2 linked regions of the Caenorhabditis elegans genome follow. The protein of the gene in region 1 interacts with the protein of each later gene in a pairwise test. Each region holds a gene or a part of one and is shown on either strand. Other genes may lie near its edges.

Region 1 (16,650 bases):
AAAAATTATGTTTTCAGGAATTCACGCCACTGTTATCGATCCATTCACCATCAAGCCACTGGATGGAAAGACCATCGCCGAGCACGCTCTGAAAGTTGGAGGACGAGTTGTTACTACCGAAGACCACTACGCAGCTGGAGGAATAGGAGAAGCTGTTTCCGCTGCTCTCGCTGATTATCCAACGATTCGTGTCAGATCATTGAATGTCAAGGAAGTTCCACGCTCCGGACCACCAGATGCTCTCGTGGACATGTACGGAATCTCTGCTCGTCACATCGTTGCCGCCGTCAAGAACTTCCAATAATGTATTTTTAATGCCTCGTATTATAGTATTATATAGCTTTCCTTTATGTTTACTTGAAATGGTTGTGAATTTACAGCAAAATGAAACAATTTAAAAAAAGGTGCATCGCAGTTTGTATAAGCTTCTCGCACGCGTCTAGACAATAAGAAGGCCGTTTCGCGGGCATTGGATGTTTTGTGGCGAGGCGATGACGGGGATCGAAACCTGTTCGGTACCCGAATTGATACACTTCTCATCTACATCTTCTTGTCGTTTCTGAGAATAAGCGATACAGAAGATGAACACTCACGGCTTCTTAGTCTTTTTCCTCTTTCCGCTCCTCACTTTTTCATTTTCCTTTCAATTTCATGATTTCTCTTTTTAGGAACTGATCAATATTTCTGATATGAGGATTTCTCTTTTTTAGACGGTTCTTTCAAATAAAGACCAAAGTTTTCAATTTTTATATTTATATAACGTTACTAGCAGTATGCAAACATGAAATGAGTTTTTATTTATTTTTCCAGTTATGAGAGTTCTACTATTATTTGGATTCTGTGTACCATGGCTTTCATCGGGACAAGAAATCACTCGGGATTATTCTCCACTTCTTGATGTAAGCTTATCAAATTTATTATCTGTTCGGCAGATCTTTATCGATTTGATTGGAAAACAATGGTTGTGGCATTTCATATTTTGAAACATTTAAATTTTTTGGACAGACCCTTTTTTCACATACCACGATTATACCTGCTTATTTCTCCAGGCTCATTTCAAAATTGAAAGAATGAAACGCGAAGTTTTGCTTTATCTACAAAAAAAATAATACGGTATACGATATTTGCGAAATGCGAAGAGTGCCCTTTGAAGATTACTGTACTTTTAAAAAAATTATCGCAAGATCTCGTTATTGATAGTTTTTGAAATTTGGCAGCAAAGTAACAAATTTTAATGAAACAAAAAACTGCATTTGACACCATAGAAACAATGTTGCATATATCAATTTAATATGACATCTCAGTGACTTCAGTGAAACACTTGTTTTACCGTAGTCCAAATGAAATTAAAAATCTAATCTTTCATAAAATCTTCATCAACATATTCATTTTTTTTATAGAAAAACACCTCAGCTGTCAACCCGGGTATCTACCTTCGAATCATGCCAAACGGGTTAGCTTACTTGAGAGAAGTTGGAATGAAAGTGATCAATGAGCAGATTCTTAAATTACAACTGCCAAATATTAGAGAACCGATTGAAAATGGAGAGGTTAGATTTATCGATAATCTTACAATAAAACATGTTATATAATAGGTTTCAATTTACAATCTTCAAATGAGCAAGTACTGGGCTCCACAGGAATATGCATTGGATATGTCTGAACCAAGTACATTTGCGTGGAGCATGAGCAAGATGCATTTGAGGTGATAAATAATATTATACTAGTTCTAGATATTCTACATTAATTTTCAGAGCTGCTGGAGACTTTCAAGCCACTTTGAATAGTCCTCTTCTGTTGCCTACCGTACCAATTACAGGGCATTTTGAAGCTCTTTTAGGTCACATTAGTTTGTATATTACTGTTAATATGGAACGGTAAGGGAGTTTTGATAAATTTTGATTTTTGAAACGAGAAAATTCTAGAAATGCAAATGGAGCTCCTCAAGTAAGATCTACTGGATGCAGAAGTGCAATTGGATATGTTGATTTGAATGTAAGAAACACTGGAGTTATCACTGATTTCTTTATCAACGCGTTTAAAGGTAAGTTGATCCCTGAAACATAAAATTTAAATCAAACATTTAAGCATTCTTGATTGGAAACTTCAAACCACAAGTTGAACAGAAGATGTGTAAAATGATTGAATCGATTATTGATCGAGATATGAATATTTTACTATCCAACATGCCCCTAAAAGTGAGTAAATTCAAATTTTCTTTCTGAAAACTTTTGAATATTTTAAAGATTCGAATCAATGAGAACAACTTGGACATCATCGGAGAAACATTTGGAGTTGCTCCAAGAAAGGTGAGGTATGTCTCATTAATATATTTTAAACGTTGATCAAGAGGCTCAAAGTCGTAAAAAACCACGACAATCGATAGCTCAAATGAAGCCTTATGATTGAATTACCAAACTGATGCTAGAAAATTTGCATGGGTGTAGGGAAATTAGAAACAAGAAAGTTTGAAAAAAGTTTGCCATCTGTTTGACAGCGATGTGGTAATCTTTTACAAGGCTTTCAATGAGTTGCCAGTTGATATTGTCACGTATTTTCAGATTGAATCCAATTATTTTGAAGGTGTACAAAAAAAATAATAAATTGTATTGTATTTGAAATATATACTCAAAATGTGCCATGAAACCTATAGTTATAACTAAAAAGTACTTTAAATTTTTTTTAGATCAGTCAACATTTTGAAAAATTGTCTAATTATCGGATAATTTAGTATGTTTGAGTTACAGTAGAAAATTTAGAGTCGAATGCTCAACTTTCAAACTGTTTTCTTTTGATTTTAACGACCTTTATTTCAGCATCATCGGGCTGGAAAGTTATCAAATCTGAATGCCAAGAATATCACCTTGACCCATTTCGTACAACGGCTTCGTGATAAGGAGTTAGTGTTGGATTATCAAATGTTGACAGCTCCATTTGTACAAAATGGTGCTGTAAATATGATGTCAAAGGGAGAAATCTCATATCGAGGTCAAGGTGGAACTCCCTTCTTTCCACCAAATGTTAGAATTCCACCTCCACATGGTATGAATTATTTCAACTGCCGTTCTAAAAGTAATTTATTTCAGGAGTTCATATGATTGAATTCTATGCAAGTGATTATCTGGCTAATTCAATGTTGTATCATTCATATCGTCAAAAGTTCCTTGACGTCACAGTTGGACCCGAAAGTTCTCCACAGCTTCAAGGACTTTTGCTTACAAGTTGTGGTCCTGCTGGTTTCTGTCTTGGAGAGTTCCTTGGTACACTTGGAGAACAATTCCCGGATAGACAAGTTGAAATTGAATTTTTCGCAAAGAAAGTAGGTTACCTAATATACGATCCTAATTATTTGACACACTTATTTTCAGGCTCCACTAATTGTGTTCATTGATGATAGGTCTCGGTTTAGACTCCATGGAGGTCTTAATATGTACGTAAGACCTTCGAAGCCAAATCAAGTTAAACAGCAGGTACTGATTTATTTGATTCTATGAAACAGAAATTCCTTTTATTTTCGTAAAGATCCTAAAAGCTGACACGACAATGACTGCAAACGTAAACTTGTGGATCAATGGATCAATTATTGTTGGAAACTCAACGATTGAAAATTTGGATTTTAAGGTGAGATGTTTCATCCAATCATCTATGAATCATTCTTACTGAAGCTATGTAATTTCAAGTCGTACGACGTACGCCAAATATTATATGTTTTTATGTGTTTTTACAAATGGTAATTTAATCGAAACGTAAATTATTAATAGGCCTTTAAAATCACCAGAAAGCTCAAAATTGTAAAATAAAGAGGTTACGTAAAATGTAAATAGGCCCAATCTATCCCAATCTTCCACACTAGTTTAAAACATTTTGGGTTAAAGATGGAAAAATTTGAACTTGGGTAAGACTTGAATGCGATTATATGATATTTCACCAAGAAAATTGTCACCAATTTATTTTTTTGGAAGCCGGCCTGGATGTTTCAGTTTTGAGGTGCTAATCAAATTGTCATATTTCAGCTCCTTGAAACAAAAATCAACGATGTCGACCAAGATTCATTTTCCGACTTGGGATTATTTGGTGCTGAATTTTTAGAGAAGCTTCTCACTGAAATTCTTCAAATGGGAATTGCTCTGCCAACCATGCAAGGTGTAATTCTGAAGAGTCCAAAGTGAGTTTGAAACGAGCTCTATAATATGAATTTATTATAATTTCAGATTAACTTTCCACGATCGTTATCTGAAAGTTTCAACATATTTCAAACTTGACGAGGAATACGCAGGAAGTCTTGTCAGAGGAGCTGTTGGAAAAACGTTACGTGGACCATTGTGATGAATGACAAAGTTACCAAAAAACAGAAATATCGATATTTAGTTACCGGTTTATATGTACATTTCGAGAAAAGAATACTGATGAATATATAATAAATAAGTTATTATCTGCGAAACTGTTTGAAGAAATAAGGACAGTTTTCATCTCCGTAATTTGCAAAACTGCAAATAAAATTAAATATTTGCAAGGGACCAAAAATTGTTTTTTCTGTCGAATGTATAATATGAGAGTTTCGATTGAACGTGTCAAGTCTTTCATAGAGATTCTATTCAACAATTCAAACAATACTTTCAATCGAACAGGTATCATTTCATTCGTGATCATTCATTTCAATATCTTCTTGATCGTCAAATAAACTTATCTTTTCAACGTTTAACTTTCGTTCACATTACCAATGTACTTTTCTCATTTTTCTTTTTCTGTGGTTTTTAATCATTTCTCTACTGGCCAAGCTCCACCATTAATCTCAATCTGACAGAATATTATTTTGCTGAATTACAGGGAATCTTCAAAACTGGATCCAAATTATTTGCAATCGAGGGTTGTCCAACTATCGAATAATTTGTTATGATCAAAATTCTAGTCGTTTTTAAAGGTACAATTGGGTCTATTACTGGCTTAACAACCTGATGTGCATCGTTTAGTAATGTCAATTCGTATTTATTTGTCTCATATTGAACCCTTCCTAGTCACGCCACTTCACATAAAACCATCACCATGGAGTCATTGCGTTTCTATGTTTTTCTGCTCATTTTCTACTCTTTCTATATACTTTTGGATGTGACTTGATCATCTAAAGTCTCGCTTTTCACACAATTGTTTTTGACTTTTTCATTCAAAGTGCAAAAATTGTGTAGTAGATGTTTGATTTGTTACCTGTTATTCAAACAATCCATAAATCGGCACCCTTCCGTTTATATTTTGGAGATTTGTTGTTTCGAACACACATTTTTTTGCAGAAACATTTATAATGTCCAACGAACAAGAAGATTTTGGATCACTTTTTAACAACCAAGGAGAGTTAGGAATCATGGACGATTTTGCCGAGTTTGGGTAAGTAAGTTTTTAAACGGGTGATGCTGATAACATTTATAATCGTACTTTTTACGATGTGTCAAGATGTCTTAACCGTGCAATAACAGTTGTCTCTGCGTCTCAATTCCCGCATTTATTGTAGATCATATGGGACATGGAACAGCCTGACACCACGTGATTTTTCCGATAATAGTCACATTCAATTATGTTTACTTCTGTTTTTTAATGAAAAATAATTTGTAATTTTTCCGTGTCAAATAGTTTCCTAACTCCCGGCTGTTAACAAACTATTATAAAAGTCGCTCAAAACTTTTTTCAATGCAATTTTAGTTATGTAAACTTATAACAAAAGTAAATTAAAGGTGACTGACTATTTTTAGTCCAATATATATACCAATGTTGACAGGGTTTTACAAACTGGAAGCTATTTTTGATGATTCAAGCTTTTTATTTCAAAAATCTGTCTGACTTTTCTGGACTGCTCTACTCTATTGAAACTTTAAACTCAATTTTACAAAAAACAAGTAATTGAACTGTTTTCTCGGCTTGAAAAAAAACCTAGAATGTTCCAATTATTAGGCAACACCACTAAGTTATATCAGTAACTTCAACAAAACGTTTCAAACCAAATAAGTTTTATATTTGTCCAGCACACTATCACTTCCCCCGTAGACAGTGAGATGGAAATATATTGTTAACCTGACTGACTCGTTCCGACTTTTATAAGACAAGATGCATATTTCTCTCTCCGCCCTGTCTACGCATTTCTGTGTCTTGATCTTTTGAACCAAAAAGTTTACAACGGATGTCCTGGGGCGGAAACAATAAATACCTCTCTTTCTCGTAGTTTGCAACGTACCCGCTCTTCTTGAGTTCACCGGAATCAAAACACAATTATTGTATTTGCCCCTGTCTTTTCCTCATTTACATTTTGAAGTTTCCCCAAAAGTTCAGTATCGTGGTTTGTTACTCAATTTGCAATTCCTAGCAATTTTTAAAAAATTATGAAAGAAGTCCCCAAATATTCCAAGAAATTCAGGAAAATTTGATGAAAAATAGGGAAAAAACCACAATGTTCTCTTTTTAAATTTTTCAAAAAAAATTTTTTGTAAATAATTCGAAGTTTAGACTCCAACAGGCACAATCAAACAAACATCTAAAGCCGAAAATTATGATAATTTGTTTATCTCTACGAGCCTTTTATGAATCTGATCTCTTAACCCAATAAACGAATAATATCTTCTTGATCTATCTGACCTTTTCGTGTTACTGTTCTCGTCTCTTTTCCTGCAATCGGCAAATATTTGAGCACAGCGCAACAGATGGACCACACTTTGTAGACAGAGCCACGTTGCAGTGTTCTAGAGTCACACTATTTTAGGGGTTTTCGGTATGGATTTTTTTATCGATTTTTTTAAATTTATTAATTTTTATTCAATGAAATTTCCAATGTTGAAAAACATTAATTTGTTGGAAAGATGAAAAAATTAAAATTTCAGAGGGTAACTAAAAATATTTCGAATTTTATTTCGTAACTACCCCTCCTCGAACTATTCTTCTTCCGAACGGTAATAACGAACCTTTTGTCATCTTTCCCTAACCTTCTTTTGTTCATTTCTCTTATTCATTCAAAGTAGTCGTCATTGAAAATACAATTCAGATGACGTTCTCAACCTCGTCTTTTTTTCCATTTCCTTCTATTTATCGATCACGTGCTATCGTTCCCTATTACGCGCTCACTCCAACTTTTTTCTTCCTGTTAGGAGCAGAAGCTCACGTGTTGCCGATGCTCTGAGTATATTCGTTCTCTATTTCTCTCCGTTCTCTCTCTCTCTCTCTCTCTCTCTTCTCTCTCTTTTTCTCTCTTTTTTCCCATTTCTTTCCTCCTTTCACTTACATTTGTTGTGACAGAAAACACACACATACATACCCTAACGCTCACTCTCGCTCCTCTCCTCTCTCGTTTTTCCTATCTAGTTCTCAAAATATTTCTCACGTCTCTTCTAGTTCCAATACTATTTTTTTAACCGTCGACTTTTATAAACTGATGTCAGAAACGAGCGCAATTCCAAAAAGAAAGAGTATGACTGACGTCAACAAAGGTGAAAGTTCTTGATCTGTTTCCAATACTCATATACATATATTTATTTCAATTTTCTTCAAAAACTCTATATTTGGTTCTATTCTGCCAGATCTAGTTTTTAAAAAGGAACCATAGTTCGTTCCCGAATATGAAAAAAAGTTAAGTAGCAACATTTAATTTACCGCATCATACATTATCTAACATTAGATATATAGTTGAATACACTTTTTTCAAGAACGAGACAGCACCTGTCTGGCAACTTCACGTACACTCTTATGAGAGATAACAATCTAAGGTCGTGAGACTTGCCCTATAACAAGTCTAGTCGACTTTTTAATTTCTTCTAATACACCTGTTATGACGACACGTTGCTAGACTCTGACAATAAGGAAACTAGACCTGAAGAAAAAGTGAACATATTTTTTAAATGATTTTGTGTTTTTCACTTAGAAAATCGAATGATTTCAGTACATTTATTTTTATATTTATTTATCAAATGAATATCCCAAAACTATCTTCCTTCTATAGCATGCTGATAGAGAGCAAAAAAATTTAACTGAACCGATTTCAAAACCTCTAATACGACGTCATTATTTCTTATCTATAGGTATTCTGGCATTATTATGCACTCAATTGACTTTTTCTCTATTTTCACGTCAGCTAATTTCACCAACAACCCTCATATTCGTAATCCTTAGATAATCCCTTCCTTATAGGATCTCATTATCTCATAATTATTTCATTTTGTATTAATATCAAAGCCAACCGACTTCCTTGTTGTTTTGTGTTTTTCTTAACTCGTTTTAAATATTCGACTTTTCAGTTTTCAAACTACAACAACACCCACAAATTGGGCGGCTGCGGGGAATTATATGTACCCAGGTGAGTCAAATTGTAGACATGACAAAGTTATTGGAAAACTAGACAGAAGTGGCTATAACTGCAAAAAATATATTTATAAAACAGACGTTTTCAGTTCCTGATCTCAGAATGCCTCAAATCACATAAAATATAAATATGCTTCAATTTTTTGTTAGAAAACAATTATAAACATGAAAAATATCTTTAAAAATATTTCGTATGATTTCGATGTTTTTCAGACGATTTATTTCCGGTTTGTCATATGATTTAATATGAATCAGAAAGTTCTAAAACGAAAATTATCCAGCTTAAGTCCCTCATCATCCATATGAGTCACCGTGATCACAATCACTTGGGAAACAAGTTTCTGACTAATTTAACATTTGGAATTGAGCTTTTATTTTATTGTTCAAACTGATATACAAAAATTACAGATCAAGTTCACTTACCGGCAAGCATCAATAATCCAAACATGCCAATAAACGACTGGTTGGAAGATGCTCCAATGCCTGATTGCTATAATGTTCCGTCAACATCAACTGATGAAAATAATGATCCGTTTCCATTTTCAAATATGTACGTTTATTTGAAAGTTATACACATTCACATACCTCTTTTTTTAGCTCAAGCCAATCTTCTTTGAAACCAAAAACTCCTGAAAAGGCAGTAGTTGAAGTACGTCCTACTGGAAACGAGATGTTGGATCCTGAACCCAAATATCCAAAAGAAGAAAAACCGTGGTGTACCATATTTTACTACGAGCTGACTGTTCGAGTAAGTTCAAAATTATTTGAGAAAGAATTTCAAAAAACGGATAGCATAACAATGATATATTTTCAGCTAGGAAAAGCATTCGAAGCCAAAGTCCCAACAATTACAATCGATGGTGCAACTGGAGCAAGTGATGAGTGCCGAATGTCGCTTACATCTCAACCATCTTCGAGAAATTCAAAAAGCTCACAAATCCGAAACACAGTTGGAGCAGGAATTCAATTGGCATATGAAAATGGAGAACTTTGGCTAACTGTACTGACTGACCAAATTGTTTTTGTACAATGCCCATTCCTGAACCAGACATTGAATAAGCCACTGAAATATGTGTTTCGGTTGCAAAACAAAGGAGATCAAAAAAGAATGAAAATATTCGATAAGGAGCAGTTTGAACAGGAGAAAACATTGGCTCTCGGACCTTTAACTGAAAAAGAGGTGGCTGATGAACGAATGAGAATCTTCTCCAACATCAGAGTCTCTTTCTGTAAAGGATTCGGAGAAACGTATTCCCGTTTGAAAGTTGTGAATTTACCGTGTTGGATTGAAATTATCTTGCATGAGCCAGCTGATGAGTATGATACAGTGAGTTTTTAAACTTTAATGTAATTTTTCCTAAATTAAAAATATAATATTAAAACACAATTTCCGATAGTGCGGTCCAACTGCAGCTGAAATACCCAAGATCTCTGAAAATGTTGTACACCACTGAGCCGACTACTGAATTTTACTGGCTAGCAATTTTTGTATAGGCTTAAAGTATCTCCATTGAAGATTAAAGAATCGATTTTTTAGCCACCTGGATTCTTTCGGTGAATCAAGGCTATATTTGTTTCCGAAATAAATAGATAAATTAAAAAACTTCATGAAAGACAAATAATTAATAATTATATTCACATTTGTCTTATCCGGTTCTATTTATAAAATAATTAAACAAAATATGACTATTTCAATCATTAAAACAAAAACACAAAAAATTCAACATATGATCTAGTAATGGAATTAACTGTTAAGTGTATGGCATAGTTGAGACCATTTTGAATTTGAATTTGAATTTAAATTTAAACACTTGAAATAACACACAAAATTGTTTCAAGTAATTAAAGTTCCATTAATAATCTTCAGGTTTTCCGTATTAATAACGAACGGCCGGAAATAGGATCCCGATCATGATTGCTTCAATATTTTCACTTCAATGATTGGTTCTAAGCATTCGAATGCGTACCCGTTTGATTAATATTTCCATTTCTGTCCCAGTTTTTAATTTTCATTTCTTTTGGTTAAAAAATTCCCAGTCTCTTGAATGCTTTTCTAAAATCTTTAATTCAATTATTTATTAGAATCTTCTGTTTTGAGAACTTTGTAATGTAATTAAATAATTTGATGAAATGATTATGAATGCGAATAAATTATTAAAATAATATTAATAATACATTTTTGGTGGAAAGGAGAGGAACCTGAAACAATAAATTAGAAATCTGACGACAAAAGTGTCAATTGTGGAAATAAATAAAATGAGATGATCCCGTATGGGTTGGAAATGTCTTTAAATGTAGGATGAGCACAAAACTAAAAGAGCAAAGAAAACAGAGAACATTTTGAGAAAAATTAAGTCATAGTTTAGAAGAATTTCTTGCTTTTACAAGAATCAATAAAATGGAATATGAGTTCACAGCTGGCGTTTGGAGCATACATCTGCAAATAAGGAAAATTAACATGATTGTGAAAAAGTGATTTGATTAAATGTGTCTCTGTTGTAACACCAACAACAGGAATTCACAAAAGAGCACCAAAAATACGTAACAGATAGGCACGTAGTCACTCCTAAATGCCTACCTGTAGTGGCAGCCTTGATTTCTATATTTTAAAATTTACCTGCAGGAAGGGACAGTTGCCTCTCGCCCATTTCGAGACATCTTTGATACTAAAACTCTTGGCCAGTTTTGTTATTTTTGCACAACTCTCTGCGGTAGCTTCCTGCATTTCTTGAGGATTCGATTGTAGAATTGGCTTCAACTTAAGAATATCATGACCCACTTGTTGTTGAACAGGTTGTATTGGTTGGGAAGGTGGTAAAGCCATTCCTGGTGGAGCCAATGGCATTGGCATCGGAGCACCCGGAGGAAGCGGGATTCTCATTGGTTGTGGGGCACCGGGCAATGGAACTGGACGATGAAGCATATTAGTTGTCGAAGAGACTGGAAGAGTCATTGGTCCAGGTACTCGGTATGGTTGATTATATGGAATTTGATGGCGAAGACGTTTCATTGATCTTAATGGAGAAAGATCTCGTGTTGTTTGATGACGATCAGAGTTTCCGATTTGTTGATCGAAACCAGCTTCATCCGAGAAGTCATCAGAAAAGAGTATCGGACGTCTGCGACGCATTCGGTATTCTGAATATTAAGATAACTTTGGAAAAGTGTAAACATACAACTTTTTTTTTGAAACTACTTTACCTAATTTCAAATTTGGAAAAAAAATCTTAGCAATCACTGGAATTTTCCTGAACTTCGGGGTATGACCAAACATGTTTCGTATGATATAAAATTTCAGTAACTACTTCATGCTTTTATTATTTTGAGAAAATGTTTGTTGGTTGAACTATATTCCTTCTTTGCAACATTTTCGCGGAGATAAATATTTTAATGATCACAGATAAAAGGATACATCGATCATCAAGGTTCGATTTCTTCATAAATCGTTGATTATTTGATCTTTAAGTAATCTTTCAGACCATATTGTAATGAAAAATAGTTTAAATTTAATTAAAAGTAATCATATTTCGATTTAAATTTATATTATTGCTTTCCGATAAGAATTTAGTATTAATTTGAATTCAAGTTAAACTAACCTCTTCTCATTGGTCTGTATAATGGAATATCGTCATAATCATCATAAGTAGACATATCATATGGCCTCTTCCGTGATCCTCTGTGATACATTGAATTTGGATAATCTTCTTCATTATCTTGATTTCCTCTGAAATATTTTAATAAAAAATTTAAATAGTTTCTTTTTTTTCTACATTTTATTCTGCTGATTGTTGTATCGTTCAATTGCTGAGTTTGACGAAGAGGATGATGACGTTGTATAGGACCGTTGTTTTGACACATTTGCAGAAGATGAAGGTGGAGATAGAGGTTTGCGTGATTCGATGACCTCGACCGGTACTTTCAAGGAGTCTTCCGGTGATTCAGTTGCATGACTCTCCTGAATCGTTTTATGGTTAAACCTCCGTTTTTGATTATAGGTCAAATGAATCTTGGAGATATATGTTTTGAAATAATGAACAGAGAAACCTAATCATAAATTTATGAAAAAAGAAGGAAAGTGATGGATAATATTAATGAATGTGCGATGTTGGATCAACTAGATTCTGTTAATTAGAACGTCTAGACGTATCATAAGATTTGATCTGACCTAGCCGTTTTTTTTGGAGAAATATATATCTATCGGGAAAAAGTTTCAATCGGAATAGTGATGTAATGATTTATTTTGGTCAAAGTTTAATAAGGATAGCTATACGCAAACTTTTCACTTCAATTTTTGATGATAGCAAGAAATATTCCGTTAATTTCGAGAAAAAATCTTTGATAGGAAGTAGAAATAAAACTTTTAATTGTGTATTAGGGCTTCGATATAGATCTTCCTTCAATGAGATCTGCCTACTTTAAGCCTACACTAACACCTTCTGTTTAAATACACGCAAACGTTTTTTCATTGAACAATTGAACTTCTAACAAATTTATCCAAATGGCAAAATTAGTATTATTTTCCCCACCAAACAGCAAAGAAGTGGTAAGAGTCCGGCATATCGGCCGGAAGGTTATATATATATTTTAGCTCCGTGAAACCCCCACTTTCTTATAATTTTAGCCTGTCTACTCACCTTCTTCTTAAGATACATTTCCTCAATAAGTCTATCAGCTTCTTCATCATTCATTTCATCAAATGGTTTTGTTGTAGTTTCTTCTTTCTGCGTCGAGGTCACAGTCACCGGAGTTGTCGTTTCTTCCGAATTCCGATGAATCGCGATTGTTACCTTCTTTGATGGCTTCCGACGAATCTCTCTGTCTCCTGAAGATCGATATGTCTGAAACTCATATTTGGGGTTTTATTTTTAAAATTTAAATGATTTACCGGTGGTTCCATAGTTGTTGTGAACTTATTACCCTGATAAGATGTGACTGCACGACCATTTTGATCATAAGTCACGTATTCTTCAACACATTTGTATCTGCAATTATATTCTTAAGTAGCCGGGGAAGATTAGAAAGTAACCGATTAAAATGCTAGCAGTCTAGGGTTCAACAATTTCATTTGAAACATACCGGCGGGGATTAGTTTTTGGGTGTTTGTATTGAAAAAAGGAGATTTTCTGTACATGGGATAGATTCTTGGTTTCCGTTTTGGACTCAGAAAGTGTGGATCGATTAGAAGCATCGTGAAATAAAAATTAATCTAATTTACCGTATTTTCCAATATAATTTTATTTCTTTATTAATTTTTGGAATTCCTATTAATCTTTCATTACTGATATGAAAATACAGTAAACGCAAACATCGAAATATTCCGTCAATATTGGCAGTTACTGGAAGCAAAATCTTTCGAAGTCTTCAAAAATTTTGCAACAAAACAAATCACTGTTTCTATTGTATTTTTTCTATTACTCTTGAAGATTTTTTTTGAAAGTAGATATCTCGGTTTTGATTTTATCAAAACTACTACAATTTTTAATATATTTGGTGGGTATACCTACTATAGTTTATCAGTACGTACGTATACGTTGCCAAATAATAGCGATGGAGTACTACTAATAGAAAAATACAGTTATTTTTTAATTTGGTAATCCTGGTTTCAAAACATTTGGAAACACCGGAAATTGCCATGGTTTTAATTTTTCAACTATTGCCCTGCAATAAAATTGACAAAATTATAAGAATTTAGATTGACGTTTTTTCAAATTAAAACAAAATTCTATACAAAACTATAAATTTGAGGGAACAGTTACCAAAGATAAATTCGATTTTTGTAGGATTTTGTTCAGTGAATTTTGAAAAAAAAAAAGTTTTTCGATTTGATATACCTTTTAACAGTTCTTGGGACACCAGTCCTTCTGGATAACGCGGAATTCAGTCGTTCTTCATATCGTTCCAGTACTGAATGTGTATTTGCAGTAACAAAATGCTCTGAAACCGTCATGAGCAGAAGCATAATGAGATGGACGATCATCTAAACATGAAGAATGAACTGTGATGTTTTTATTCGGAAATAATATAAAATGAGAAAGATGCAGCGGGATAGAAAATTGTTCATAATTGACATGAACCCAGCCGCCTTGTCTGGTTTTGACTGGCCGATAAAAAATAAGGAAGTCAAAGGATGAAAGCGTCTACAGACACTGCTACATATGCTTCTGAATCTTTTTGGAACTGTTGGATCTTTTGAATCCTGGATTATCTTTTTTCTTTGAGAAAAAGTGTATAGGCGGGGCATAAACCCAAAGGGAGGGGGGTCATAGTAGTAAGAGGAAATGAGAGAAATGAGGTGACAGAGGAAAAGAAAAGAGAGAGAAATTAGAAATTCGATTGTTCCGTTCGTTTTTTTCGTTTCAAAATCTAATTACTGTTTTATTGTTTGTGTTCGTTGTTCTTGTATTCTTTCACTCACCACGATCACCACCATCATCAGTACTAAACTAAAAGAGAAAGAGATTCAGGCTAATTGGTTGGCCCCTCTCTTACAATCTTCTAAACTATCTGACACTACTGAGAAAACACTGATTGTGAGGGAAATCCTTCAAGAAAAAGGCAGCTTCTCACATTGTTTCCGGTTAATGTCTAATAAGGAATGAGAAATTGATATCGTGCAGAAGATGATTTGCAAGGTTTTATCAGTTTGGCCTGGTGAGATCAAAACTTTCTTTTTAGATAAACTACTGTGAACTTTTGATATCAGTATGCAAATATGCCTGATTCGAAAATATAAGTTCTTTTTTCTTAATTTTTAATACATAACACCAACAGCTTGAAACGTTTTAAAACTCATTTTGATTTGTTCGATGCCCGTTTTTTTTAAATTTTGGAGTTTTGTGTGGAAATGATTTCGTTTTTTGTGATTTTTCTTAGTTTTTGTTACCTAAGTTATTAAATATTTTTTAGCGCGGCAAGACCCAATTGAATATATTCGTGTACCATTAAGGGAGAAATTCAGAAAATGACATTAGTTCCTGAATTCCGAAACCCAAAAAGAAGTGTATTTTATAACAAAAAACATTTAGTGTTTAAATAATCAATACCTTAAACCAAAACAAAATTAGTTAAACATTTTATCAACTTTTAAAGTTTTATGAAACGTTTGCAAAATATTATTGCAAAAATTACAGAACTAAATAAGACAACGTAGGGAAATGCTATTGAGTAGCTCAAAAAACGAGAACAAGAAATTTTATTGAATTTTAATATTTATCAATTTAAAATCTATGAGATTTACGCATTTACTCAAAAAACAATGCTTTGGAAAATTTTAAATAGCATTTTGATAAATCTAGAAACAATTAAATTATGTAAAGAAAAAACAACTTGGAAACTTATAAATTAATTTTAATTACCATAGAAAAGAGAATAAAAAATTATGTTCTAGTTAAGACTACAAAATCGTGTATACTTTATTCTGGATACTGTAACCCAAATCGGAACAAAATGTGTAAGAACATTGAAGCAAGGACTAATGAACTGTTGATTCTCGATTTGTGAGAGAAGGGTTATCACATTAAGATAAGGGATAAAGATAACAGAATCAGACATCTCTGTCGTTAGTTTGAACATTTCAATGTGGAAAAAATAGGTGAAAAAAGATAAGGAAAGGGGAAAGAAGATAAATCTGTTTTTCAAGCGGTATCGTGTTCCGGATCTCGGTATTCCACAGTACACTATATCTCCCGTTTAGATCACAAAGAAACAAAAAATTGGCAATCTGCTGGCACTAGTCTGATCGTTTTTCCTCTCATCCCCGAGGACAGGATTTTTTAACTTTTTCAAAAAGTGTTCTAGAATCGGAAAAATTACATTTGATACGATTTCTCCTAGAATGTCAAGATATTCAATTGATGATAACACCTGGTGAGAGAACTGTAAATTTCAATAATGATGATGTCATATAATACATATAAACTGTAAGTTTCCAGAAGGTTCATAGTCAGACAATTTAACAAACTAAAGAGTAACAAAATTTTGGAGTAACAAAATTTTTAGACATGTTCCCAGTCTCCAGGTCCACAAAAATAAAACGGACAAATTGGTAAAATTTTTAATCATTACCTATATATAAAAAAATAGTTTCCGTTTGTTAAGAAGTGACGCCATAGCTTACAAAGGCAAGGCGTTTTCGGCTGTTGGAGGGATATAGGTTTGGAGTTATTAGTGGGATATGGTCGGGGTACTGTAGTAGTACTGTAGGAGTACGGTAGGATTACTGTAGTTTAGGAAAAATTGTGTTTTAGTATTTTGAAGAGATATAGGTTTGGGGTTAGAAGTGGGATATGGTCGGGGTACTGTAGTAGTACTGTAGAGGTA
Region 2 (14,881 bases), on another chromosome or scaffold:
TCCTCCTCCAACACTATCGCATCTTCGAGCCACGGAGGATGGTAGAAATTCCCGATGACCGTCTTTTCCACCGATCTTTTGCTTGGCAATTCGATATGTATTCGTGTTCTCAGGCGTGTAATTTTATTGATTACATCATTTCCCAAAATCAAATCCACCGGTGTTCCATCTCGATAATAGGCCATTCTTATCTCATCAAATTCCACGCCATTCTGCTGCAGAACTTCCAGATCCTCGTCACAGAATTCGGGTGCTCGGAATTTCGTCGCCATTCGTCTGAAACCTGGAGCTGCCATCGTCCATATTTTTCCATCATCTCCAACGATTTTTAATTTATATATTTTGTAGGATTCGACTGCTGCATCCGCCACGACTCCCGAAAATCCGATTCTTCTTGTACCAACCACCTTGAAATTATTTTGGAGCGCTGCTTTTTCGGAAATTATTGAAGTCTGAGCACCACTATCCACCAATGCGATAATTCTAGCTCCACTCTCCGTCCTCAAATGAGCAAATGGAAGTTGAGCTATCTTATCATTTTCCTTTTCAGCGAGTAGCATAATTTCCGTCGCGGCTTCCAATCTCAACTCGTCTTGCAGCCACTCCTCCGCCTCACTGTCCCCGTTCTTCTCCGGCTCGTGATCGTTTCTTTCAGTGCTCGAGGGTCTCAACCCCCTAGCACTGAAATAACTGCTGCTCCAGTTCCTCGTCATCTTCCAAATCGAATTTCGTATTGAAGACGTTGACTGTAGCTGATTTGACTCGATCACAGTGTCCAGAATAGTGGGTTCCACGACAATGATAACAGTTATATTTCGACTTGCAATCCCTGGCGAAGTGTTTCGCGCTCAAGCAATTGTCACACAATTTATTCTTGGAAACCGCCGATTTCTTGAACTCCGTGTCTTTCGTGCAGTTATTCGCTCCATGTTGCTCCGAATTGCAGTAAGCACAAGGAATTTGCTTTGATGGTGGCACGAATTCCTTCTTTTTGTAACCGAATTTCTTCCTAGCATCACCGTTGAATTGCTTCCGATCCTGCTGACGATGGTGCTGCATTGCTTGAACATCGACGTATCGCTCTTCCGACTCGTCCGAATCTTGCTCCACGTCGTTTTCGTTGTTGTAGCTTCTCATTGCCGACACATTTTTTACTCGAGCTGGCTTCACCGATTTCTCTACGACTTTTTCTTCCATTTCTTCACGATTTTCTTGAGCTTTTAGCTGTGCAATTACCGCTTGAGTACAGGTAATCAACAATTCGAAAGTCCTGTTTCCTGACATATTATAAGCTTCCACTCTTTTCCTGATCTTCTTTGGCAGTGCATCCGTGAATTCTTGCAGGTATTTGTAATCGTCAACGTATAATCCAAGTCCTTTTAACCGTCTGACATCTCCCGCGTATGTCGCCAGCGACTCTTCAATCTCCTCAATAGTCGAATTTGCCTTGAATGTCATCATTCTCACTTTTCTCGTGAGGTAGTCTTTCTGGAAACGACCGCAGTTGTAGGTGGTGTGGAGATTTGTTCTGATCAGATAGTAATTCTCCTTCGAATGACCATTAGTGATACTGTGTTGTTTTGCTTTTCCGACAAGAAGTTGAGTAATGGCCATCTGCTTTTGTAGTAGTGAGAATCTCGGATTTTTATGGATCTGACTTTCGAAAACACCAATGAAGTTCATGTATTTCTATGGCGATCCATCGAAAGGTTCCATACTTTTGACTGTCTCGTTGATCACTCTTTGACGCTCTGCAGTGTCCCATAACGCCTCCTTTGTTTGCTCATTTGTCTCGTATCCATCCCAATGAATTAGATGCTCTGGTAGACCATTGTCATCCCATTTCGTGTCGTCACCGAACAATCTGTCTTGATTTGCCAATAGTGGATCCTCTCCGAAATAGCCATCATCGCCTTGCTCAGCTGAGTTTCTCCCCCTCGTCACTGCGTTTCTGACAGGCTTTCTGCTAGTCAATCTCTTATTTTCCTGCTCTGCCGTCGATGAAGATTGGTTGTTTTTGGTAATCTGTTGCATTACTTGCTCCAGTAGCGATTCCAGTTTCGCCTGGTTGACGTCACTTTTCTCCGCATTCTTGTCCAGTTTCTGCTCCAGCCCGTCCAGTTTCTTCTGCATTCTATACTGTTTTTCCGCCACTATCTCAATCCTTCCAACTTTCCTCTCAATATCCTGCTGCCACTGTCTCAGATACGATGCTGTCGGTGTGGAATCCGAAGTTTTTTGCGGCTCCGTGTTGATGAGCATAGTCTCCTGACCCATATTCTCTGTCTCATTTTCAGGCGAATTTTGCAGGTTCAATCACGCGGTTGGTGGCATCGGAGCAGAATCGGAAAAGGAGATCCTTCAGCTGTACGAGGATCAAAAAGAAGTTTTTACGAGAATGCACATGAAAATCAGGGAATTTGTCACAAATGCAGGAGAAGCAACGGAAAAAATGGAGCCGGAAGATAGAGCAAAAGGAGCACACTGTAAGCTACTCGGACATGTTTGGAACTCGTTGTTGGACACGTTGGAGATCAAAATTGCGACGCCACCAGAAGGAATTCCGACGAAGAGGCAAATAGTGGCTTTTAATGCCTCGAATTACGATCCGTGTGGATTGATGACACCGATTACGGTAAAATTGCGACAGCTGATTCAACAACTCTGGAATTTCAAATTGGAGTGGAAGGACAAAATTCCAGAAGAACTGATAAATACCTGGGAAGAAGTGAAGAGCCAGTTCACAGAAAAGGTATACGTCATTCCGAGGAAATTGTCAAGAAATATGGATTTCGAAGAAGTAGAGCTCATTGCATTTTCCGACGCTTCAAAATGGACATATGCAGCAGCGATTTATTTGAGATTCACTTATCCGGATGGTGCAGAGTCTTTCTTGGCTCTATTTAACATAACTTAGTATTACCATCTTATTCTGTGCCTCAACTTAATCGTTACAAGTTTGAATTCTTGAGAAAACTGTATTTAAAACCTATTACGGCCTTTCAAAACTCAAATATATAAAAACGGTATCTTCTTAAGCTTTCGTGTTTAGTTTCCAATACTTTCCTTTCAGTAAGGCTTGAAATTTTTGGAAGCTTCACTGCTAGTTTCCCACTTCACGATTTTCCAATTTCAACTTGTTAAAAACTGGCAAGATCACAGAAAAAGCCACACTTCCATGATAAAACCACAGAAAATTAAAGAAATTGGGCTGAATGTCTCAGATTTGGTGATTCTGGCACATGATGATTTCTCAAAACTTCAATTCAAAGATAAAATTGTTTGTGACCAAACCTTCATTTCTTATTTGACTTTCAGGCTATATATTTAATTATATTTCTTAATTGTCTTCAAATTTTTTTGAGATTTCCCCACTTTATTTAGTGAAAACAAAGATAAACTTCTTATTTTCTCAATTTTTCAATAAATTTAACCTTTTGCAGCAAGGTATTCTCTTTTTAACTGAGAAAACTATTTTAAAAATTCATTTCATCATCTTTCCTTTGCTTTCTCAAGAAAATTTCATAGAAGAAATGCATTTTTTCCGCAAAAATAATTCAATATTCAGAAGTGCGCCAGCACGCGACAGGCGCATCGGTGAAACGCGCAAGCAATCTCCCTCCCCCTTCGTTTCCACCCGAGGAGACCGTGAGCTACCAAAAAAATTTTTTGAAATTCGAAAAGCGACCAAAAACATTTTCGCTTCGAGACCCACGACTCCAGAAAAGTGCGTGCGCCTTTAAACTAATTGCCCTTTTAAAATTTTTTCAACTGATTATTGTGAATAAAGAAAGAAAATTTCTAGAAAAAAGGGTATTTAAGAAAAAAAAAACATAAATTACAGTAAATCAGAGATATTTCAACAGAAATAACAGATTTTGAAGAAAAAACACAAAAAACAAGCAAAAAAGGTTCATTTTCAGAGATCGTTCGGGCGAAATTCAGCAAATATTTATGTACATTCGAACTCATTTCGTCTGAGTCGACGCTACGGCTCTGGCGAGCACACTTTCCGGCAGTGGAACACCATTTTTCTTCATTTGCGTCGGCGTTGCTACACGGATCCATTTCACCGAATCCACGTGGATTTCTGGATCGGAGGGAATTGTGAGATTCTGGAAAAATTTGGGTTTAAATTGGTTCATCGAAAAGAAAAAAACCAAAAAAACCTTGATTTCTCGAAAATCAGGTTTCGCGATCGTCACGGTGTCGCCGATAACAAATCCGAAATTAGATAGGCAATTGTAGATTGTAATGCCGTAGACTTCGCCGGCGGCGTCGACACCAACAAGGGCACTGAAAATTTGAATTTAGTACTAAATTTAGTGGGTTTTGAGCTAGCCACTGCACCTTTTTCCTCACGAGGGACGAGGAAATGCGGTTTCTAGGCCATGGCCGAGGATCCGACAAGATCTATCGGCAATTTATTTTGCTTTGTTTTCCGCGTGTTTTCTTTCATTTTTCGATAAATATGCTGCTTAGATGCTGAAACTACATGATTTTCATAACGAGACTACTGAAAAAGTTGTGAGATTTTCAAAATTCAACATTTTGTGCGAAAATCTATACTTTTTCACCAAAAAAGTTGAATTTCGAAAATCTCAAAACTTTTTCAGCTGTCTCGTTATGAAAATCAGGTAGTTTCAGCATCTAAGCAGCATATTGAGCATGTTTCGGAAAAAGTTTAGGTTTTGTATTCCCGTAATCCATCATATTACATTGACCACTTTCACCGCTACTTGCCGACTGAATACATTTTTTTTGACTTGGAAATCGTTTTGGCATCTGCAAAAAATATTTGTTTATCAGTTTTAATAAGAAAAAACGGAAAAAAAATCGGTGAAAAACACAAGAAAATACGCGGAAAACAAAGCAAAATAAATTGCCGATTGAACTTGTCGGATCCTCGGCCATGGCCTAGAAAGCGCATTTCCTCGTCCCTCGTGAGGAAAAAGTTGCAGGGGTTTTGAGTAGCGTGGCAAATTTCTAGAACCAAGATTTTTGCGAAATCGCATCAAAATCCTACACCGGAATAGTCTCGTCGTGGCCGATATTTCCAATAATTTTGGCTCTAAATCCATCTGACGATTTCTTAAGCTCATTTATCATCTCCTGCATCCGCTTTGCCTTCATTTTTCCCTTCTTTTGGATGGCATCAGTAAATTTCGACAAATAGCTCACAAAACTCGCGAGCTTCTCTCTCGTCTCCAGCTCATTTCTCGGATCATACTCGACGGCTTTCTGTAGAACAGCGAGCGCCTCGTCGTACTTTTCCATGAATTTCAGACAAGTCGCCATATTAATATAAACTTGAGGGTCTGTTCGAGAAAGTTCGCATTCCAACGCTTTCTTGTAGTTTTCTATCACTTTGTCCAAGAACTTGAGCTCCACTTTTGCGGTGCTGAAGAAACAGTAGAAAAGGCCGGTGGCGAAGGCTATGTTGGCAGGCCCGTAGGCACTGTCAAGGCGTCGAGCTTCTATAATTAGTTCCATCGCTTTTGTGCTGAAAATTCAAGTATCAAACGCGAATTTTCTCAATTTTCAAACCGAATTTCTGCCTGAGCCGGCTCGGGATGCTCCAAGGCGACTAATCTCATTGCAACAGCCAGGGATGTCAGAATTGGAGCAGTTTTTGATATTCCGAGAGCAATCTGAATATATTACCTTTAATTATTTAAGGTTTTCAACATTTTTGACTAAAATATTTAAAAATACCTTGAAGCAGGATTGCGCAAACTCCAAATCCCGTCGTTTCATAACGCATAGGCCAAGTTCGTGCCAGGCGTCTGCATTTTTCGGGTCTAAAATTCAACAATTTTCCTGATTTTTCAGCGAAATTTCAAAGCCTCACTCATTCTAACAGATTTGCTGAGCATTTTCTCGGCGGTTTCATTGTAATCCTCCAGTACGTTGTACATTTTTCCCCCTTCCGCAAGTAAAAGTGCCTTCTGATTTGTGTCATACGCGCGGGAAGTTGAGATTATGGTTGGAAGGATTTCCTGGAAGAATTTAAAATTAAAATTGGCCGAATAATTTCGAAAAATGCTCCCCTCACCTGGATAAACTCCCCGCCTTTTTGAATAACCGCCGCCGCCTCCTCGTCTTTCGATGATGTTGGATAATTTTTGAAGTACATTCTTTTGAATATCTCCAGCTCATTTTTGTATTTTTCCATTATTTATTCGAACGAGTTTCTCTAATTTGCAATTCGATCTTGAAACAAAAAAATTCGAAAAGAAAATTGGAAAACCAATTTTAAAATCTTTGCTGCAACTACGGTCGACAACTGTGCAAACACCGCTGTGACAAATGCACTGAAAACACCATATTTCACGCGCATTGCGTATTTTGAACAATTTTCAATTTCTAGAATTTCTGCCCCCATTTTTTGTGATTTAACTTGATTTTCTTGAAGTTTCTCTTCAAAAACTTTACAATTAGCTTGTGGCAAAAGTGTTTCGTTCAAAACTTCACCAAAAATCTCGAAAAAGTGCAGTTTTCATCTTCAATTTTCGAAAATTTCAGCAAAATCACAAGATGATTATCCCAATCAGATGCTTCACATGCGGCAAAGTCATCGGCGACAAGTGGGAGACGTATCTCGGATTCTTGCAGTCGGAATACAGTGAAGGTTTTTAAAATTCTCGGATTTACTGAATGAAAAAAATCTCGTTTCTCTCAGGAGATGCTCTCGACGCGCTCGGTCTTCGTCGCTACTGTTGCCGAAGAATGCTTCTGGCTCACGTGGATCTCATCGAGAAGCTTCTCAACTACCATCCGCTGGAAAAGTAATCGGAGCCCCTTTCAATTGTTGTTGTTTTTCTGTTTTGTTGTGGCCGAATCTCAATTTTTACTTTTTTCCACCGTTTTTCCTCTTTTTCTTCACTAATTTCTCAAAATTTGATGAAACATTTGATTCAAGTTTGCTTTTTAAATTTAATTTTTGTCATATTGTATAATTGAGTTCACAGCTCATTCTTTATTTGTCCATGTGATGTGATTATTTTGCGAGAATTTGAGAATTTCCTAAACTACACCTCCTTCCACAAGTTTTCCTTCAAAAAGTTCCACGTGTCCGCTAGTCAGACTGTCTATCATTCTGACGTCTCTCATTTATCCCGCGCATTTCCTAATCTCGGTCATTTATGTCACCGAGACGGTCTGCGTTCACGACACTTTCTTATCGATTCTTTGTTTTTTTCTTCCAGAAAACCTCGTATACGGCGGCTTTGTCCATCGCTGACGGCGCTCCGGTGTGATCCGAGAAACACAGTTTTTGAGCAGCACAACTCCAACAAAAATGACTCGTGGAAATCAAAGAGATCTGGCTCGTGAGAAGAACCAAAAGAAACTGGCCGATCAAAAGAAGCGCCAGGGAGCCTCTGGACAAGACGGAAATGCTGTAAGTTTTCATTTCAAATTTCCAAATCACATATATATATCCAGTTGCAAATAAATATTCCAGGGTCTATCGATGGATGCTCGCATGAATCGCGACGCTGACGTCATGCGTATCAAGCAGGAGAAAGCGGCAGCCAAGAAAGAAGCCGAAGCCGCTGCAGCTGCTGCAAACGCAAAGAAGGTCGCCAAAGTGGACCCATTGAAGATGTGATTGATTAATTCTCACTTTTTTTTGATCATTTTTGTTTTATTTTATTCGTATTTAAAAAAACATCGTATGGGTTTCCCAAAAAAATGAATGCCTCTGTCTCCTTCTCCTGAAAAATGTATGATCACTTGGCAGCTCGCCAACCTAATCATTATCAGAGCCAGTTTCTGATTGTCTTCTTCGGCCGCCGCCTCACCTCATCTCTTCCTCCCACCCCGCGGCTTCTCTCCACAATTCTTGTGCTCTCTCGGGCTCTGGTAACTATGGCAACCGCCGCTCGTGAAAGCCGAGAGCAACTTCTTGCGTAACTAATCTCCTCGATTTCGACACCACACACTTTACCGCAAGGAAATGCGTAGAAAGTGAGAAGAAATGACCGAAAAGTCGTGGTTCGAAACTATTTTCTGCTGTTGTTGCCATCGTACACCTATTATCAGACGGTAATTCGATATTCTTAGGCTTATTTTTTTAAATGAAAATCGTTTGCTTGAAAGCATTTTTTATGAAATTTTGAAGATGTAAAACGGAAAATCCAAAAATGTTTCCTTATTCGAGGTTTTTTGGAAAAAAAATTATATTTAAAGTCGAAAATTCAGCTATTTTTAATATTTTCCGATCGATTTTTGCCATGAAAATATATTAAAAATTATTTTTATTCATTTATTTTATTTATTCTCCACTGATTTTCTTTTTTTTTGCGTTTTTAATGGAAATTAAAATGACAAAACAAGGTAATTGCAGAATGTTTGTTAAAAAATAATTGAAAAGGCGTAAAACTGTAAAATTATGATTTCCGACGACAAGCCTGAAATTAGTATATTTTACAGTTTTAGGCATTTTCAGTTACTTTTTAACAAGCATTTTGCATTTTTCTAGTTTATTTCTCGCATTTTCCGATAAAAAACACAAAAAAATGAAGAAAATAGGCCGAAAAATAAGAAAAATAAAATAAATAAATAAAAATAATGCAAGTGCGCTCCATCGAACAAGTTCAATTGGCGGAAATTCAAATAGGAATTAGGGGAAAACTGAGATTTTTTCAATTTTCAAAAAATCATATAAAATCTAGAAAAAATTTTTGAATTTTTTTATCATGATATTCGGTCATTGTGACGCCATATGCGTGTTTTAAAGCAATTTTCCCACATGAGAATTACACATCAACGAAACCCAGAAATTACAGTACTCTTTAAAGGCGCACACCGTTTTGCAATTTACAAAAATTGTCGTGTCGAGACGCAAATCCGCAAGTTTCCGCATCTGAGCAATATTTTTAGTTTGATGAATTCCCATAGATCGTGCCGAGACCCAATAGGTTTTTTTTCAGAGAAATCAAACTCGGATGTTTTGGCATCGGAAGCGCCGGAAAAACCACATTTTTGAAAGTTCTCAAGGGAGGTAAGCAAGTGCGCTCCGTCGCTCAATCCGAAATTATTTTAAAATTTGAATTTAATCCAGAAGATCCGCGGGATTTGCTCCGTACCAACGGGTTCTCCACAGTGAAAATGGAGTATGATGAGACTTTTCATTTGACGATCTACGATGTTGGCGGGGATAAGGGAATACGTGGAATTTGGAGCAATTATTATGCTGAGGTGTGTGTGTGTGTGTGCATGCGATAGGGCGCACTTTCACACTGGAGAATTTTTGAAAACTCTTATTACACGTGGATCTACAAAAAATGCGGGACTGATTTCGCATGGTTAAGAGCGTTTTGACGTCACATTTTTTTGGGAGAAAAATTCCCGCATTTTTGTAGATCAAACCGTGATTATTATAATTATTCTAAATAAATTAAGGTTCACGGAATCATCTATGTGATTGATTATTCAACGGATGAGACATTCACCGAGTCGATTGAGGTGAGAGAAGTTACGAAATTGATAAGGATTATGAATTATTCCTAAAAGTTATGAAATAAGATTTTTAGGCTCAAAATACGCTATCCGGTCTCGACACGACAACTTTTTGCAAAAAACTAAAACGGGTGTGCTCCTTTAAAAATTTTTAGGCAAAAGTACAGTAATTTCATTTACCGTATTTCTTCTATTAATATGGCCTCCCTATTAGACTTGCACTCCCTATTAGTATTGCTCCTTGAACACCCTCCGAAAATTAGTATTGCACTCCCTATTAGTGAAAAAGGCGGGGCCTAAATATGAGGTTTTCTGCAGTACACGCCACGCAGTTTTCTTATCTTGAGTGTAATATTGCACTCCCTAATAGTCTTGCACTCCCTATTAGTATTGCAAGCGGGAAGACCATCGAAAAATAGTATTGCAGCTATATTAATAGAAAAAATACGGTAGTTTTACAACTAAAACCGAGCCGCGATGCGACACGCAACGCGCCGTAGATCCACCCCAGATATGGCCGAGCCAAACTGGCCTAGTTCGGCAAACTCTTCCATTTCAATTTATGAGGAAATTCCATTAATTCCTAGGGAAGCCAGAAATTCGTGATAAAACAATTAAAACCACATATATTTTCGAAAAACTATGAAAAATCGGGCAAAGAACGTTTAAAACCACAGTAATCTTTAAAGGCGCACACCTTTTCGCATTTCACAGAAATTTGTCGTGTCGAGACCGGATACCGTATTTTCGGTCAAAATTTCAAGTCTCGGTAATAAATTACTTTTAAAAAATTATCATTCTCCAGGCTCTCCACTCCCTAACCAGCAATCCACATGTGCAGAAAAAGCCAATTTTTCTGCTCCTCAACAATCAGAACAATCGAGAATTTGATGACGTGGAAATTTCGAATGAAGTGAGTGACTTTGAGTGACTTAAATAATTTCCCGTAAACTGTCCCCGTCTTCTTCATCCCCCAGTGTTCCTTCTCTATCACGCAAACCTCTTTTCACAGACTAAAATCCAGGCGGGACAACACAAAATCGTACTTTTCTCGCATTTCAACAAGTATAACGGATATGTGAGTGCGCTTCAAGGTAGAAATTCAAAATTCCACCGATTTTCAGCTTGATAACATAAAAAGTGCCACATTGACGGTGATGGCGAGGGCGAAAAAGGATAGAAATGAGTATCAGGAGCAGTTTGTCAGATTCATCGATTCTGTAGGATTCCCATTTCATTTTCTAGAATTTTTAAAATTTTCCTTTTTTTCAGATTTCTGAGCACTATGTGGAATTATCCGAGGGTGTTAAAACCGCCGAGTTGGCGTTGAGGATCCGTCAGGAAGAAGCCAAAGAACAACGGAGACTGATGCAAATGAAAGTGGAGCACGATGCTTTGAAAGCCGACGTGGCTGGCCTGGAACTTCGGAACCAACCACCTGTGCAACCACCGATCCCGCCTGATCCTCCATCGGATCCGAAGTCCGCGTCGGTTCATATTGAAGAAAGTCCGCCGATGTCGCTTGCCAGCTCGACAATACCATCAGATATCATTCAGAGCACGCCTGAAACAGGAACTCCACGAGATCCTGTAAAGTGAGTCACATTAATTTACTTGAGAAATCCGATTGTTTCAGTTTTTGCAGAATCTCACAAACAAGCACGAAGCCTGTTTCGCCGGAATCTAACAGTGTTAAAGAAGAGCCAACTATCATTCTGAAAGACAACTATTTCTTGCCACCAAAAGCGCCTGGTCGACAATATAGCCGGATACAAAGGATTCAAAACGTTCTGAACAATCGAGTAGTGCCAAAATAACCTCCTTTTTTCACTTTTGAAGCCATAAACACTTTCTTGGTGTTGTTAACAGATTTATTGAAAACAAATAACAAGATCTTTAGTCGAAGAGACCGAAGCCCATGTCGTCATCGGATTCCTCCTTTGGCTCCTCCTTCTTCTTGGTCTCGGCAGCTGGGGCGGCTCCTCCAGCAGCTGGAGCAGCAGCGGCGGCGGCTGGAGCTGGTCCAGATCCGGCTCCGGAAGAGACAGAAGTGATGAGGTTCTGAAAACAATCGGGGTGAAACTTGAATATACTTATGAGAAATCCTTACCTTCACATCAACTCCCTCGAGAGCCTTGGCGAAGAGTCCTGGCCAGTATGGCTCGAACTCGACGTTGGCGGCCTTGAGAAGGGTAGCGATCTTCTCGCCGGTGATGGCGACCTCGTCATCTTGAAGGATGAGAGCAGCGTAGACGCAAGCCAGTTCTTGGTTCGAAGCCATTCTTCAATCGTAAGTTGCGCGGTTTGCCTTAGCTCCAAAGAGAACAAACGTTTGATAGAACGCTGAAAGAAAGTATTAATGCCACAAAGTGACCAGGGTAAGAAAACAATAAGATATGAAGCATGGGTAAAGACCATGTGAATAGAATTCAACAACAAGAACAAATTCAACTTGAAACATTGTTTTAATACAAGGTAACAACATGGCTTAAGCCACCAAAACACAAGCTCCTCCGGCCTTCTTGATCTTTTGCTCAGCCTCGTGGGAGAAGAATCTGGCTTTAACGATGAGTGGAGTCTCTGGGAGGAGTCCTTTTCCGAGAACCTGAAAATAAGAACAGTTAAATTTACGTTTCATAGTCATGAAAGATAATTGTCTCGAACCCAGAGGATGACATTTGTCGAAATTCAAGACAAACACCGAAGGAGATCCGAAAGCCGTTAGGCGCTACTTTGTCTCTCGTAACATACACAACCACATTCACCAGTGGAAGCGCCAAGACGAGAGAAATTCTTGTTTGACTTGTTTCAAAACACACCTTGAAGTATCCAAGCTTGGTGCAGTCAATGACTGGGGATTTGCCTCCGGTGGCCTTGTCGCGAACCTCCTGTGGGACAAGAGACCACAAACGCTCGACGTTGACGGTTGGGCAGTAGTGTTGGTTCTTGTTGAGATGGAACACTCTCATTCCAACCTGAAAATTAAAGTTTGAGTGTCAGATAATAAAGAACATATTAGATTTAATTGTCTCGAACCCAGAGGATGACATTTGTCGAGATGCAAGACAAACACCGAAGGAGATCCGAAAGCCAAAAGGCACTACTATCTCTCCTATAACATACACAGCCATATTCACCAATGGAAGCGCCAAGATAGGAGCGGATAATTTCCAACGAACTTTTAAAAAAGTACCTTAAAAATAATACCTTTCCGAAGTATCCAGGATGGTACTTGTCACGGTTGATACGGTGGTGATGTTGACCTCCGGCGTTACCGCGACCTCCAGGATGCTTCCTGTGCTTTCCAATACGTCCGTGTCCGTGCGAGACGTGACCACGGAGCTTTCTTGTCTTTCTCAACGCGTGAGCCATACCCTGTAAAGTAAACAATTTGAATGTGTAAAAGCGGCAAATTTCGATCGAAAATGGAGAAGAAAAATCAGAGAAAAATATTCAATGAAAGGTTCCCGATATTCTCGGATAAAATTACTACAAAAATACAAATTTTGTCTTTAAAGATAATTAAAATCGACCAGATCACACACTTTTTTCATTAAAACCTAGCGAAAAACCATTGAGAACAAAAAGAAATCCTAAAATATTCGCAAAAATTCAGTGAGTGTGTCTCCCAAAATCTGAGGTACGGTCACACTCGTTTGATGCGCATTTCGTGGCGAGACCCTCTCGATGAAATGCAGCCTCCCTTTAAACTCTTTTATTTTTTGCGCAACTTATTTCATCATTTAAATCGATTTTTTAAGCTAAAAAAGCAGAAAAGTTAGTTAAAATTTAATTAAATAATTTTGCAAATAAATAAGTTATTGATATTTTGTACTTTTTGATTCAGGCTCACTGTTATTATCGATTTATTCGTGGAGAAAGTCGAAAAATACTTTGTGTTGCATTATTTATAACATTCCGTAATTATTTTTGAAGTATTTTTTGTTTTCTAATTTTACTCGACTAAACTCACTTTTTCAATTTAGATTTCCTGACACCATTTAATTCATCCATCTAATTTCGTGATAATTAGGATTATTATCAATTTTGCATCATAGCTCGTTCATTTCTCTTTCTATTTCCCATTTTTTGTCCAAGTTATTAACTTCCATTTACCAGAATGGCTGCATCTGCACAGAAGCTTTTGGGTCGCTTGGGAACTGTCGGAGTGGGCCTTTCCATCGCTGGAGGAATCGCACAAACTGCTCTTTACAATGTTGATGGAGGTCAACGAGCAGTCATCTTCGACCGATTCAGTGGAGTGAAAAACGAGGTCGTCGGAGAAGGAACTCATTTCTTAATTCCATGGGTACAAAAACCAATCATTTTTGATATCCGGTCAACGCCGAGAGCCGTCACCACCATCACTGGAAGTAAAGACTTGCAAAACGTCAACATTACTCTCCGTATCCTTCACAGACCAAGCCCCGATCGTCTTCCAAACATCTACCTGAACATTGGTTTGGACTACGCAGAAAGAGTCCTTCCTTCCATTACAAATGAAGTTTTGAAGGCTGTTGTGGTGAGAAAAAATTTTAATTTAAATATTGCGAACTGATTTTGATTTAAAATTTGTTAAAATTAATTCCAGGCGCAATTCGATGCTCATGAGATGATCACCCAGCGTGAGGTTGTCTCCCAACGGGCGTCCGTGGCTCTTCGTGAACGTGCTGCACAGTTCGGACTTCTCCTTGATGATATTGCAATTGTAAGTTCACCAGATTTATGAAGTTTAAGCTATTTCCATGATTTTTCAGACCCACTTGAACTTTGGACGTGAATTCACTGAAGCCGTCGAAATGAAGCAAGTCGCACAGCAAGAAGCCGAAAAAGCGAGATACCTTGTCGAGAAGGCTGAACAAATGAAGATCGCCGCCGTTACCACCGCCGAAGGAGATGCTCAAGCCGCAAAGCTTCTTGCCAAGGCCTTTGCCTCTGCCGGAGACGGACTTGTCGAGCTCAGAAAGATTGAGGCCGCCGAAGAGATCGCCGAGCGTATGGCCAAGAACAAGAATGTCACCTATCTTCCAGGAAACCAACAAACCCTTCTCAACCTTCAATCCTAAATATCTCCGGTTACGTGTTTTAGACGAATTCCACTCATTTTCCCCTTTTCAAAGAGCCTTTTTCACTCTGTTGAACTTTCGAGAATAATCATGCCCGAATTCTCAATTAAATACTTTTTAAATTTCGTTTTTTTTGTTCTGTTTAGAGTAGGTCATTTCCTTCATTCATTTTGTGTAGGTATCGTAGCTTTTTCATTTTTTTTGCTTGTTTTTGTTGGAAATTTTCGTCTAATGAATAATTTGTTCGCGATATAATGAATTTGAAATTGGGAATTTATTAATTTTCAATGGTTGATTTCCCAAAATCATTATTTATAATTTTCTTATTTCTTTTCAATTTTCTTTTTTTT

What was found.
Region 2: the proteins of daf-14 (region 1) and arl-13 interact in a two-hybrid assay, tested with the Caenorhabditis elegans proteins (one study listed by BioGRID).

Annotation. Positions count from the first base shown.
Region 1 is NC_003282.8:10,245,350-10,261,999, forward strand, and holds daf-14 (Smad-related protein daf-14), read left to right. Parts: upstream 1-5,277; 5' UTR 5,278-5,296; coding exon 5,297-5,379; intron 5,380-8,267; coding exon 8,268-8,326; intron 8,327-8,739; coding exon 8,740-8,881; intron 8,882-8,928; coding exon 8,929-9,079; intron 9,080-9,145; coding exon 9,146-9,658; intron 9,659-10,198; coding exon 10,199-10,246; 3' UTR 10,247-10,503; downstream 10,504-16,650. Other genes in the region: tkt-1 (transketolase), read left to right, coding at 18-304; F01G10.10 (BPI2 domain-containing protein), read left to right, coding at 813-899, 1,401-1,550, 1,596-1,705, 1,755-1,877, 1,926-2,044, 2,089-2,198, 2,247-2,309, 2,817-3,042 and 5 more; F01G10.9 (aECM cysteine-cradle domain-containing protein), read right to left, coding at 10,694-10,768, 10,949-11,469, 11,928-12,055, 12,102-12,286, 12,966-13,169, 13,217-13,313, 14,163-14,308. UniProt on the Caenorhabditis elegans protein: Probably an atypical receptor-regulated SMAD (R-SMAD) that is an intracellular signal transducer and transcriptional modulator activated by TGF-beta-like daf-7 signaling.
Region 2 is NC_003279.8:2,057,768-2,072,648, forward strand, and holds arl-13 (ADP-ribosylation factor-like protein 13B), read left to right. Parts: upstream 1-7,950; 5' UTR 7,951-7,981; coding exon 7,982-8,049; intron 8,050-8,936; coding exon 8,937-9,007; intron 9,008-9,067; coding exon 9,068-9,204; intron 9,205-9,408; coding exon 9,409-9,471; intron 9,472-10,270; coding exon 10,271-10,378; intron 10,379-10,477; coding exon 10,478-10,543; intron 10,544-10,589; coding exon 10,590-10,685; intron 10,686-10,737; coding exon 10,738-11,060; exon of another isoform or gene 11,061-11,101; coding exon 11,102-11,282; 3' UTR 11,283-11,327; downstream 11,328-14,881. Other genes in the region: ttc-5 (Tetratricopeptide repeat protein 5 OB fold domain-containing protein), read right to left, coding at 3,969-4,115, 4,170-4,296, 5,027-5,503, 5,548-5,651, 5,716-5,801, 5,852-5,999, 6,056-6,175; rpb-10 (DNA-directed RNA polymerases I, II, and III subunit RPABC5), read left to right, coding at 6,538-6,631, 6,683-6,792; moag-4 (Modifier of protein aggregation 4), read left to right, coding at 7,301-7,402, 7,466-7,612; rplp-1 (Large ribosomal subunit protein P1), read right to left, coding at 11,362-11,526, 11,576-11,746; rpl-27A (Large ribosomal subunit protein uL15), read right to left, coding at 11,954-12,070, 12,285-12,440, 12,673-12,837; phb-1 (Mitochondrial prohibitin complex protein 1), read left to right, coding at 13,586-13,987, 14,057-14,173, 14,223-14,531. UniProt on the Caenorhabditis elegans protein: Cilium-specific protein required to control the microtubule-based, ciliary axoneme structure. Required for normal sensory cilium function. May act by maintaining the association between IFT subcomplexes A and B.